Oryctolagus cuniculus: one gene and its partners. The protein of the gene in region 2 purifies or fractionates together with the protein of the main gene of each other region. This does not show direct contact. Links are inferred from orthologs where the notes say so. Each region holds a gene or a part of one and is shown on either strand. Other genes may lie near its edges.

Region 1 (3,645 bases), on a different chromosome or scaffold from region 2:
GGTCTTCCATCTGCTGGTTTACTCCCCAGATGGCTGCAATGGTCAGAGCTGTGCCGATCTGAAGCCAGGAGCCAGGAGCTTCTTCCTGGAAGAAGCAGGAGCCCAAAGACTTGAGCCATCTTCTACTGCTTTCTCATGCCATAGCAGAGAACTGGATCAGAAGTAGGGCAGCCAGGACTCAAGCCGGCACCCATAAGGGATGCCAGCACTGCAGGCCGCAGCTTTACCCACTACCCCACAGCTCTGGCCCCTTGATGGTACTTTTCTAATAGGTTTTGTTCAATGATCTCTTCTTGCAATTTTATTTTTACTTACTTTCATAGTAACACATAGTTGAAGTCAATTAATCTCATTGAAATATGAAGTAAGAAAACTATATCACTAGGTCTTAGTGCTAAATTATTTCTTTAGAAAGTATAGAATGGATTCCTGAATCTTTTTATGGTTCTCTATAGTACTATCATAATTAAAGCCATCATATATTTTTCATTATTGGCAAAAGTGTTGGTACTAGCTTACCACTTGCATATGAGACAGAAGATTGTAAGGGATCATTTTACAGTTTTTATATAGTGCATGCAGGCTTTCTCTCAGAACTGATCATTTGGAGGGAAAGCACTTGTTATTGTAATGGTGGTTTCTCTTTCCTTAAGGTATAGTATGTAAACGTAAAATTTTATCATTTATATATTACATGTGAACAATGAAAATATAACCTTGATCTTATGTTTTCATTACCTGGTACGTACGTTGTTCAGTTTGGATTAGACTCTGAATAAATGTATTGATTGATTAGGAAATTGGTTGCCTTGCTATTACTTGACAGATTATCTTAACTTTCCCTTCTCAGTTAATGGAGAATCATCCTCATCTGCGCCAACTGACCATGCTTCTGCCATTGGCACTCCAGTAGTACCTGAAGAAACCACCTTGTCTTCAGACTGCACTAGCACTACTGTTGAAGACCCTCTCGTTCAAGAGATACCCACTTCCTCAGAAAACAATGAATGTATACCTTCTACCAGTGCACAGTTGGGATCTGAAGCTAGAAGCATACTAGATGCTGATCATTCTAATTCTGCAAGTAGTTCTGCTTTTGACAAATTAAGGCAGCCAGAGGGGTGTGCGGAATCTGTACGGCAACAGTCTGGAAATGCCAACACAGAAACTTTGCCATCAGGGTATGTTAAGGATGTTTTTGGTTGTTTGACTTGCCTTTATGTAGCAACTTTTTGACAATATATAACTATTGAATATGTATGTAAAATGTTTTCATTGTTGAGAAACTTGAAGTCTGGCTTTTAATTTGATTTGCAGTATTAGTTTATTAGCTACAAGGCACATACTTTTTGAAACTATGGATTGTTGCTCGTCTAGTTGAACTGTGACTAGTATGAAGGGGAAAAAACCTGATTTTGATTTGCAAGATTCTATCAGTTTGATTTTAGGTTTACTTTGGTAAGGGTGAGTGTGACATCTCATATAATAATGTCAATTTTCTAGCTTCCTTTATGGTCTACTCTCCAGACCTCACACTTGAGAATAAGTAGCTGTCATCTTCCTCAGTATTATAGTACTGAATCCTTGAGAAAGTCACATATCCTTGCCGACTAGGTCTATTAACAAACTTAATTTTTCTTTGCTGTCTGGTAATCTTATAGACTGTTCATGGGGCCGGTGCTGTGGCATAGCAGGTAAAGCCTGCAGTGCCAGCATCCCATATGGGCACAGGTTCGAGTCCTGGCTGCTCCACTTCCGAGGCAGCTCTCTGCTAAGTCCTGGGAAAGCAGTGGAGGATGGCCCAAGTCTTTGGGCCGCTGTTCCTGCATGGGAGACCCAGAGGAAGCTCCTGGCTCCTGGCTTTGGATCAGCACAGTTCCAGCCATTGAGGCCATCTGGGGAGTGAACCAGCAGAAGGAAGACCTCTCTCTCTCTTCTCTCTCTCTGTGTCTGTGTATGTGTGCGTGTGTAACTCTTTCAAATAAGTAAATAAATCTTTTTTTAAAAAGTTGATTGATTTTTTTTTTAAGATTTTTTTTTTTTATTTGAAAGAGTTACACAGAGAGGGAAGGAAAGGCAGAGAGAGAGGTCTTCCATCCACTGGTTCACTCCCCAGGTGGCCCCAACAGCTGGAATCAGGTGCTATAAAAAAAAGAATGCTAAAAGAACTGGAAAATCTTTTGAAATTTAATACAGTACAAAACTTGGCTGGTAGAAGCAAATAATTTGCTAGAAAGTAGAGCAAAATGATAAAATTATAAAGTAGAAGTGATGTAAAAAGCTGAGAGACCAGTTCTGAACATTTAATAAGAAAATTTCTAGGGGTTAGCATTGTGGTATAGTGGATAAAGCTGCTGCCTATGACTCTGGCATCCCATGTAGGCACTGGTTGATGTCCTGGGTGCTCTACTTCTGAGGGCAGCTCCATGGTAGTACACCTGGAAAACTCTAAATAGAGAATGACTGAAGTATTTGGACCCCTTGCCATCCATTGTGGGAGACCTGGAAAAAGTTCTTGGCTCCTGGTTCTGACTTCAGCCTGGCCCTACTCTGGCTGTTGCAGCCATTTGAGGAGTGAACAAGTGGATGAAGATTCTCTCTTTCTCTCTCTCTCTCTCTCTCTCTCTCTCTCTCTCTCTCTCATCTATCTTTCTGTCTCTTTTTGTGCTTCTTTTTCTGTAACTCTACTTTTCAAATAAATAAAATCTTTTTTAAAATAAAGGCAAAAAATTGTTCACAAACATAAGGAATTTTATTGAAAGGCTCACCAAAATTCTAGGTACTAAGTGAAAATAGACTTATTTTTAAGAAAATTTATTTTGAAAATATTAGTATATTCTGACCAAAGAAAAAGTCTTTAAAATTCTAGAGACTAAAAGAAAAAAGAAAGTAGGCTTCACTCTAATCAGACTGGCATCAGACTTGTCAGAATCAACAGTAGAAACTAGAATACAGTGGGCCAGTGCCTTCAATGCTGAGGGAAAATGTATCCAGCCTAAAGTTTACCTAGCCATGCTGTTGAATGTGTGCATAGAAAAAATACATTTTCATACATCCTGGATTTCCAAAAATTCACTTACCATGTCATCTTTCTTAGGAAGGGATTCCTGTTACTTCAAAAATAGACAGTCAAATGGAAGATGTGGGATCAAGAACACACAGGATTGCTAGGAGAGGCAAGAAAGGAATTGGAGCATGATGGGAAAGGCAAGTCCCAGACAGCGATAGGCTTCACACCCAGTCTAGACTGGACGATGATCAGAAGGCAGGTGTAGTTGGATGGACATCCTAAAGAGCTTGAGCATTTCAAAAGGACATTTTTATGATGGAAAAGTATTTCTGGTTAAGTTAATGACAGATATGTAAAAAAAATAAGCAGAGGGGTGAGAGACACAATTGCTCTAGCTCAGGGTTTTTAATTTTTTTTTTTTTAGAAGTCATGTCCCAAGACTCAATTGTCAGGAAGGTTTATATAGAGACAGCAACAACTATAAGGAAAGATACAACATGTGTATATTTGGAACAGCTGGAATGAGGGTGTTTTATTAGAGTATGTAAACGTGCAGGAACAAGACTTGCAGCTCCATCTTTCATAGTGAGAAGTCAGTGCAACATATTTGAAATTAAATAATCATGTTAATAAGA
Region 2 (3,645 bases):
AGGATTTTTACTGTCCTCCAGAACTCTGTTTCATAGAGGTCACAAAACTGATGGTAGATTTACAGAAAACAAATTCAACAAATTGCTTTAGGCCAATTTTCAACTTTAAACAGAGTGCAGAATTATATTTCTCACCAAGATTATCTTTTGATCTTGTAACTCTTAAAATTTTAACTTTGGTTTCACCTAGGTTTTCAATATTAGATAATTCTGGACTTGAAGTGTAAAACGGGATTTCAGATGGACAATTAAAATGCAGCTGTGACATGTGACTGTATTCATTGTATCCCACACATTCTGTTTTACAGTGTAAAATCCTGGAACAACGGTTAGAACAGGGAATGGTATTCACAGAGTATGAAAGAATTCTTAAAAAACGACTAGTTGATGGAGAATGCTCCATAGCGCGGCTCCCTGAAAATGCAGAAAGAAACCGATTCCAAGACGTCCTTCCCTACGACGATGCCAGAGTAGAGCTGGTCCCGACTAAAGAAAACAATACTGGCTACATCAACGCATCGCATATTAAGGTGAGGGAAACGTCTAGGCTGATAAACGGCACATACAGTTTTGGGTTAAGGTACAAGAAGGTATCAAGTCTGTATTCTAAAAACACCCCAATTTTATTCTAAAAACACCCCAATTTTGAACCACCCTGATGTTAGGTGAAAAGTGTTTATCAGACAGAGTGAAAATCACATGTATTTTCTCCACACGGGAAACTGCTCTGTGCCCAATACTGTTAGAAGAGACGAGACATAGGAAGCTTCTATTAACTGGCTTCAGAATGTTATCCTAAACCTGAACGCTTCTCCTCACTCATAAATTTTCTCAGGAGCTACTGAAATGCTGTTTCTACCTCACCACATACTGCTGTGTATCTCTATATAACATGTCTGGGCTTTCTGATGGTGTTCACAAAAGCTTTTACTTACTAAGGTGCCATCTTTTCTCTCTGCAAGCTCCCCGTAGTCTTTCAAAAAAAAAAAAAGATTTTGAGAAGTAGAGTTGTATACTGAGAGAGGTAGAGACAGAGAGAGAAAAGGTATTTTATTTGCTGGCTCAGTACTCGGATGGCTGTGATGGCCGGAGCTGGGCTGATCTAGAACTAGGAGCCAGGAGCCTCCTCCAGGCCTCCCACGTGGGTGCAGGGGCCCAAGCATTTGGGCCGTCTTCCACTGCTTTCCCAGGTCATTAGCAGAGAGCTGGATAGGAAGAGGAGCAGCCGGACATGAACCAGTGCCCATGTGGGTTGCTGGTGCTGCAGGCAGAAGCTTAGCCTGCCATGTCACACCCCCAGCCCCCCCCCCCCCCCCGCCCCACATAGTCCTTTAAAATACCATTTTGCTCTTCAAAGAAGCACTTTTCCCCTGAAAAGAGTATGATGTCACTTAACTGAGGTAACATTGCATCCATCCACGTGGAAAAGCTGACACTTCATAGCAGGTGGCTGACTAAAGCCAGATAGCCCTTGGTTCATGCTGGCTAGATTCTTTATTTGGGGAAGGAGAAACGTCTGCATAGTGAGTGAATACGTAAGTATCTGGTCAGGTGTTTTTCTTAGATGTTTGATGACATCCGAGGCTTTCCGCAGACCATGCATTCCAGTGACCGCCTTACCCTGCGAACCTGCATGTAGTTTTCTGTTTTGTAAATTGGGCCAAATTTATTTTTAAACCAAGCATTGCTTTGGAATAACTCATTTAGCCTCTCATGACTGAATGGATAAGAACCGAGTAACACTGTGCTTACACAGTGGTGCTTCCAAGTCTGCAGAGACAACCTGGTATCTGTTCAGAAGTGGACAGATGCGGGCCTGACTCCCAGATGTACCGCTCACCAGCTGTGTCCTCATCTTACTAATCTCTAAATGAACAAGTGATGATCCCTACCCGGTAGGCTTCCCATTAGATGCCACCCCACTTCTCCCCCTGCCCCCGGCTTGTTTGCTGTTAAAACCTGTAGCCATCCACAGTGCCAGCCACTGAGTGGGTAGGTGGGTACTCAGGGGAGAGGATGTGGGGCCGTGCCTCAGGGACACTGGCATCCTTACATGAGGGTGTGGGTGGAACAGGGCTTTAGGCACAGCCCTGTAAACTTCGTAGGCAGTCAGAGAGTAGTTATTATGTTATTGGTGGAGTTGTGATTTAACACAGGTCTCCTGACTACATAGGCTGCAATTACACTGTTGTATTAGCTAGTACCAAGATGTTAAACCTTAAGTGGAGAATTTTAGTAATATTGTGGAGGCTTATCTTGACCCAGAATTTCAGAAGTGAGAGATTACATTAAGCAATTTTCCCTGGAAATCTGATGTTTCACTTGAGTTTTGACGTAATTCCCTATATTCTTTGCCACATGTTTAGTACTTCAAGAAGGGGAATTATGTTTGAAATTTGGAATATTATGATGTTGATATTATTTTTATTTTTATTTTTTTATTTTTTGACAGGCAGAGTGGACAGTGAGAGAGACAGAAAGAAAGGTCTTCCTTTGCCGTTGGTTCACCCTCCAATGGCCGCCGCAGCCGGCGTGCTGCGGCCGGAGCACCGCACTGATCTGATGGCAGGAGCCAGGAGCCAGGTGCTTTTCCTGGTCTCCCGTGGGGTGCAGGGCCCAAGCACCTGGGCCATCCTCCACTGCACTCCCGGGCCACAGCAGAGAGCTGGCCTGGAAGAGGGGCAACCAGGACAGAATCCGGCGCCCCAACCGGGACTAGAACCCAGTGTGCCAGCGCCGCAAGGCAGAGGATTAGCCTAGTGAGCCACGGCGCCAGCCAATATTATTTTTATAACAAAAGGAACCATAACAGCTACTTGTTGAATGCTTATCTTGTGACAGGCATAATATATACTAATTGACTCAGTCTTCACAACAACTCTAGGCAGGTAGGAAATATTATTTTTAAAATTTGTTATTTGAGAGACAGAGAGCAAGTAGAGCTCCCCATCTGCTAGTTCACTCCCTAAAGCCCACACACAGCAGCTGGGGCTGGGCCATGGTCTAGGCTGGCAAGCAAGAACTCAATCCAGTTCTCCCACAGAGGGCAGGAACCCAATTACTTGAACCATCGCTAATTCCCAGGGCCTGTATTAGCAGGAAGCTGGAGTCAGGGGGCCAGAGGCTAAGTGGGTATCAAGTCCAGGGAACTCCAATGTGGGATGTGTCTTAATCACTAGGTCAAATGCCTGCCCCAATATTTTTATTTTTATAGGTGAGAACTGAGATTGAGAGGTTAAGCATATGACCCCAGGTCATATAGATATTAATTCAATGTACATAAAAATGTTAGGGGGCTGGTGCTGGGGCGCAGTGGATCAATGCCCTGGCCTGAAGCACCGGCATCCCATATGGGTGCCGGTTCGAGTCCCAGCTGCTCCACTTCCGATCCAGCTCTCTGCTATGGCCTGGGAAAGCAGTAGAAGACGGCTCAAGTCCTTGGGCCCCTGCATCTGCGAGAGAAACCTGAAAGAAGCTCCTGGCTTCGGATCAGCACAGCTCTGGCCATTGTGGCCAACTGGGGAGTGAACCATTGGATGGAAGACCTCTCTCTCTCTCTCTCTCTCTGCGTAACTTTGACTTGCAAATAAATAAATCTTTTTAAAAAAACATTAATAGTAGAGATTGTACAGACAAGGGAAAAAA
Region 3 (4,273 bases), on a different chromosome or scaffold from region 2:
GCGGTGCGTCAGCGTGTGCGAGTGGGCGCGTGCCCTTCCTGCCTCCCCTGTCCGCCCCCAGGTGGCATGAAGCCCAACACGCTGGTCCTGGGCTTCTACGACGACGCTCCGCCGCAAGACCACTTCCTCACGGACCCTGCCTTCTCCGAGCCCGCGGCCGGCGCCCCCGAGGGCGGCTCCCCGGCCCTGAGCACCCTGTTCCCTCCGCCACGGGCTCCCGGGAGCCCCCGTGCGCTCAGCCCCCAGGACTACGTGGCCACCATGGCGGACGCCCTCAAAATGAACAAGAACGTGGTTCTGGCCCGGGCCTGCGGGGCGCTGCCCCCGGAGCGGCTGAGCGGCGGCTCCCGGGGCCCCTCGGCGCCCCACCACGTGGACGTGTGGCCCCTCAACCTGCTGCGGCCCCGGGGTGGGCCCGGCTACGTGGACGTCTGTGGCCTCTTCCTGCTGCAGATGGCAACCATCCTGGGCATGGTGCCCGCCTGGCACAGCGCGCGGCTCCGCATCTTCCTGTGCTTGGGGCCGGGCGAGGCGCCCGGGGCGGCCGAGGGGCGGCTCCGGGCCCTGCTGAGCCAACTGCGGATCCGGGCCGAGGTGCGCGAGGTGGTGTGGGGCGAGGGCGCCGGGCCCCGGGAGCAAGAGGAAGAGGAAGAAGGGGACTTCGTCAACGGCGGGCGGGGAGAGGCGGAGGCCGAGGCCCTGGCGAGCAGCGCCAACGCCCTGGTGCGGGCCCAGCAGGGGCGCGGCACAGGCGGGGGCCCCGGGGGCCCTGAGGCCAGGGATGGCCAGGAGGGGCCCACCACGGCCCTCACCTTCCTGTACCTGCCAAGGCCGCCTGCCGACCCCACCCGCTACCCCCGCTACCTGGCGCTGCTGGAGACCCTGAGCCGCGACTTGGGCCCCACGTTGCTCGTCCACGGCCTCACCCCTGTCACCTGCACTGACCTCTGAGGCCAGGCCCCAGCTCATCCGGATTCCTGGACGATGAAGAGGGAGGGGCCACCTCCCTCCGGCCCTGCCCTTGGGACCTGGAGCCCCCCCCGCCCCGACCCCCAGGTGCAGATGCTAGGTGTCCTGGGCTCGGGCTGACCCGCCTCCTATGGGAGGGGACCCAGGGCACGGGTACCCCCGCCCGCCCGCCTGCCCGCCTCTCCTCCACTGGTGCCTTGACGGGAGGGGCTGGTCTCCTCTGCGACCCTAGGCTACCTCAGCCTGGGGTGGGGACGTTCCCTGTGTTTTATTTTTCTAACTGCTGACCGTGAATAAAAGACCAAAACACTACGGGCTGGCCTGACACTGCTGGCGGGTAGGTGAGAGGGAGGTGGTGGGAAGAGGTCGGGTGGTAGCAGGGGTGGAGACCGGGAGCTTCCAGGGCCGCAGCGAGGCTGCCACGTGCAGGCTCGGGCGGGCCGGCCCGGGCCTGCGCCTCCCACCCCGAGCCGCCCGCAGACCCCCGTGACTCGGCTCCCAGCGAGAGCCCTCCCCTCTCGGCAGGAGGGGGCCGACTGGGGGAGGGACCGCAGATTAGGGCCTAGGGGGCCACGTGACCCTCCCCCAGGAATGCGGTGACGTCACAGGGGGCGTGGCCGTCCCCAAAATTAGGGAGGAAGGGGAAAAAAAAAAGCCAGAAAAAGTTTCTTTCCTGGAGTCCCAAACGAGGTGTAGGACGGAAGAGGGGGCCGAAGTCAGAGGCCCTGGGCTCCGAGAGGCCCTGCCTGCTGTCTGGGGTCTCCTCACCCCGTTCCAGACCATGTCGGGGCCCACCTGGCTCCCCCCAAAGCAGTCGGAGCCCACCAGAGCCCCTCAGGGGAGAGCACTCCCTCGAGGTGCCCCTGGGCTGCCACCCACCCACGGAACAGGTAAGCAGCCCCTTCTGCGCCCGCGAGCCACCGGCTGCCCAGACTCACCTCTGCCCGCTCCCAGCCTGCTCCCTGCTACCCCTTCCCCTGCCAGCCGGGGGCCAGCCGCCTGTGGCCGCCTACGGCCCCCTGAGGAGGAGCGGAGGGGCCGGGAGGGCAGCGTCCAGGAGGGAGCCCCCTTCTCTCCTCCCTGGTCCCCACCTCTGGTCTCTCTTCCCCCCACCCCAGCACTCCAGCCCCACCCCAGGGTCAATTTTTGCCCCCTCCCATCTGAGCAGTGTTACCAGCCCCCCGGGGGACGCGATGACCGGGGGCCAGCCTGGGTGGGGTCCCACGGAGCACCCCAGCGCTCCCAGGTGAGGACGGCAGTGGGAGGAGGTGCGATGTTGTGAGCAGGGTGGGGGGCTGGCTGGAGGGGCGCCGTGGTGACTTGCCTCCTCCCTGCTTTGGCTCCTTCCCCAGGGGCTCCCCCCAGACAGGGGGGGCCTGCGCCCCGGCAGTCTGGATGCTGAGATGGACTCGCTGACCAGCATGCTGGCCGAGCTGGATGGGGGCCGTGGACACGCTCCCCGCAGGCCGGAGCGGCAGGTGACTGCCCCCACGCCTGGCCTGCTGCCCTCTGTGGGTCTTCAGTGCCAGTCCCCCCCTCCCCAGGGCCCCCAGCTCCCCTCTGTGTTCATCAGCCACTGGCGGGGAGACCTGGGTGGGCTTTGCTCACTGCTCCCCGTGTTTCTCCCTAGGCTTACGAGGCCCCTCAGCCCCCTGCTTACCGCGCAGGCTGCCTGAAGCCCAACGGAGGGGGTGCCCCAGCCCCTCCGCCACCAGCATCCCCCTATGGGGGCCCCACACCGGCCTCCTACGCTACCGCCAGCACCCCAGCCGGCCCGGCCTTCCCGGTGCAAGTGAAGGTGGCACAACCAGTGAGAGGCTGCGGCCCGCCCCGGCGGGGAGCCTCGCAGGCCTCTGGACCCCTTCCCGGCCCCCACTTTCCTCTTCCAGGCCGAGGGGACATCTGGGGGGGTGGCTATCGGAGCCACCGTGGGCCTGGGCCGGGGGGGAAAGAGGAGACTGTCGGGGTGTCTGGCTCTGCAGGAGGACCCAGAGGAGGCGGGCACGGGCCGCAGGTGAGCCAGGGGTCCTGGAGTTCAGGACCTTCCTAGATGATGGGTGGGTGGGAGCAGAGCCGCAGGCCTGGGGCGTGGAGCAGCTGGGGAATTGCAGAGGGGAGGGGTCCGAGAAGCTCTCAGGGGAGGAGCCTCCTGGGTTGGACCCCCTGGGTGGGAACCCCTGATTCCCGCCCCCAGGTCCCCCTGAGCCAGCCTCCGGAGGAGGAGCTGGAGAGACTGACCAAGAAGCTAGTGCAGGACCTGAACCACCCGCCCAGCGGGGAGTACTTTGGTGAGCGGGTGCCGCGGGCAGGGGACGGGAGGGTGGCGCGTCTGGCCAGGGTCTGTGCGGGGTGACCCCGTCCTTTCCTGTCCCCAGGCCGATGTGGCGGCTGTGGAGAAGACGTGGTCGGGGATGGCGCCGGGGTCGTGGCCCTGGACCGTGTCTTCCACGTGGGCTGCTTTGTGTGTTCCACGTGCCGGGCGCAGCTCCGGGGCCAGCATTTCTATGCCGTGGAGAGGAGGGCGTACTGTGAGAGCTGCTACGTGGTGAGCCCCTGGGGCTGGGGACACTGGGGTCTGGGCACTGGCAGCGGCAGGCAGGGGCCTTCCTGCAAGGTGGGGGCCGGATGTCTGAGCCCAGCAAAGGAACAGGGCTCGAAGCTGGGGCACTCAGACTGATGGACAAGAAGAGAGGCATTGTGGGAAGGAAGGAGCACCGTCCTGTAGGAGTAGGAGACATTTTATCTATCATCACCATTATTATTATTAATTGATTTGTAAGGCGGAGAGAGAGCCCAGCTTCATCTGCTGGTTCACTCTCCAGTTGCCTGTGACAGTTGGGGCTGGGCTGCACCAAAGCCAGGAGCCTGGAACTCAATCCAGGTCTCTCCCGTGGGTGGAAGGGACCCAAGTCCTTGAGCCATCATCTGCTGCCTCCCAGCATGGCCACGGGCAGGATGCTGGCGGGCAGTGGAGCCAGGACTCCACCCCAGTCACTCTGATCCGGGTTGTGGGCGTCCCAGGTGGCCTCCTAAGGGAACAGGGTTAAATTCCAACCCCAGCCAGGCAGGAGTTTTACTACCGGTGCCCGGTTTACAGGACACTGACGCTCAGAAAAGCCGAAGCCAGACTCGGATCTACGCAGGTCCACCTCTCACTCACACGCAGGGCGCTGTAGAAACAGCCAGGCGGGCTGTGGGGGCGCCCGTTGGGTTGTTTAGCTCCCGGCTCCCCGTCCTTCCAACAGGCCACCCTGGAGAAATGTTCCACGTGCTCCCAACCTATCCTGGACCGGATCCTGCGGGC

The links.
Region 1: the proteins of PTPN21 (region 2) and WWP1 purify together in Homo sapiens (affinity purification with mass spectrometry; 3 studies listed by BioGRID). This does not show direct contact. The link is inferred for Oryctolagus cuniculus from reciprocal best matches to the Homo sapiens genes PTPN21 and WWP1.
Region 3: the proteins of PTPN21 (region 2) and TRIP6 purify together in Homo sapiens (affinity purification with mass spectrometry; 3 studies listed by BioGRID and IntAct, with this or other methods). This does not show direct contact. The link is inferred for Oryctolagus cuniculus from reciprocal best matches to the Homo sapiens genes PTPN21 and TRIP6.

What each region holds. Positions count from the first base shown.
Region 1 is NC_091437.1:111,703,530-111,707,174, forward strand, and holds part of WWP1 (NEDD4-like E3 ubiquitin-protein ligase WWP1), read left to right. Parts: intron 1-850; coding exon 851-1,181; intron 1,182-3,645. UniProt on the Homo sapiens protein: E3 ubiquitin-protein ligase which accepts ubiquitin from an E2 ubiquitin-conjugating enzyme in the form of a thioester and then directly transfers the ubiquitin to targeted substrates.
Region 2 is NC_091451.1:34,219,376-34,223,020, reverse strand, and holds part of PTPN21 (tyrosine-protein phosphatase non-receptor type 21), read left to right. Parts: intron 1-308; coding exon 309-530; intron 531-3,645.
Region 3 is NC_091450.1:43,008,858-43,013,130, forward strand, and holds the start of TRIP6 (thyroid receptor-interacting protein 6), read left to right. Parts: upstream 1-1,433; 5' UTR 1,434-1,750; coding exon 1,751-1,859; intron 1,860-2,087; coding exon 2,088-2,215; intron 2,216-2,321; coding exon 2,322-2,447; intron 2,448-2,599; coding exon 2,600-2,983; intron 2,984-3,163; coding exon 3,164-3,257; intron 3,258-3,344; coding exon 3,345-3,514; intron 3,515-4,214; coding exon 4,215-4,273. Other genes in the region: SLC12A9 (solute carrier family 12 member 9), read left to right, coding at 62-951. UniProt on the Homo sapiens protein: Relays signals from the cell surface to the nucleus to weaken adherens junction and promote actin cytoskeleton reorganization and cell invasiveness. Involved in lysophosphatidic acid-induced cell adhesion and migration.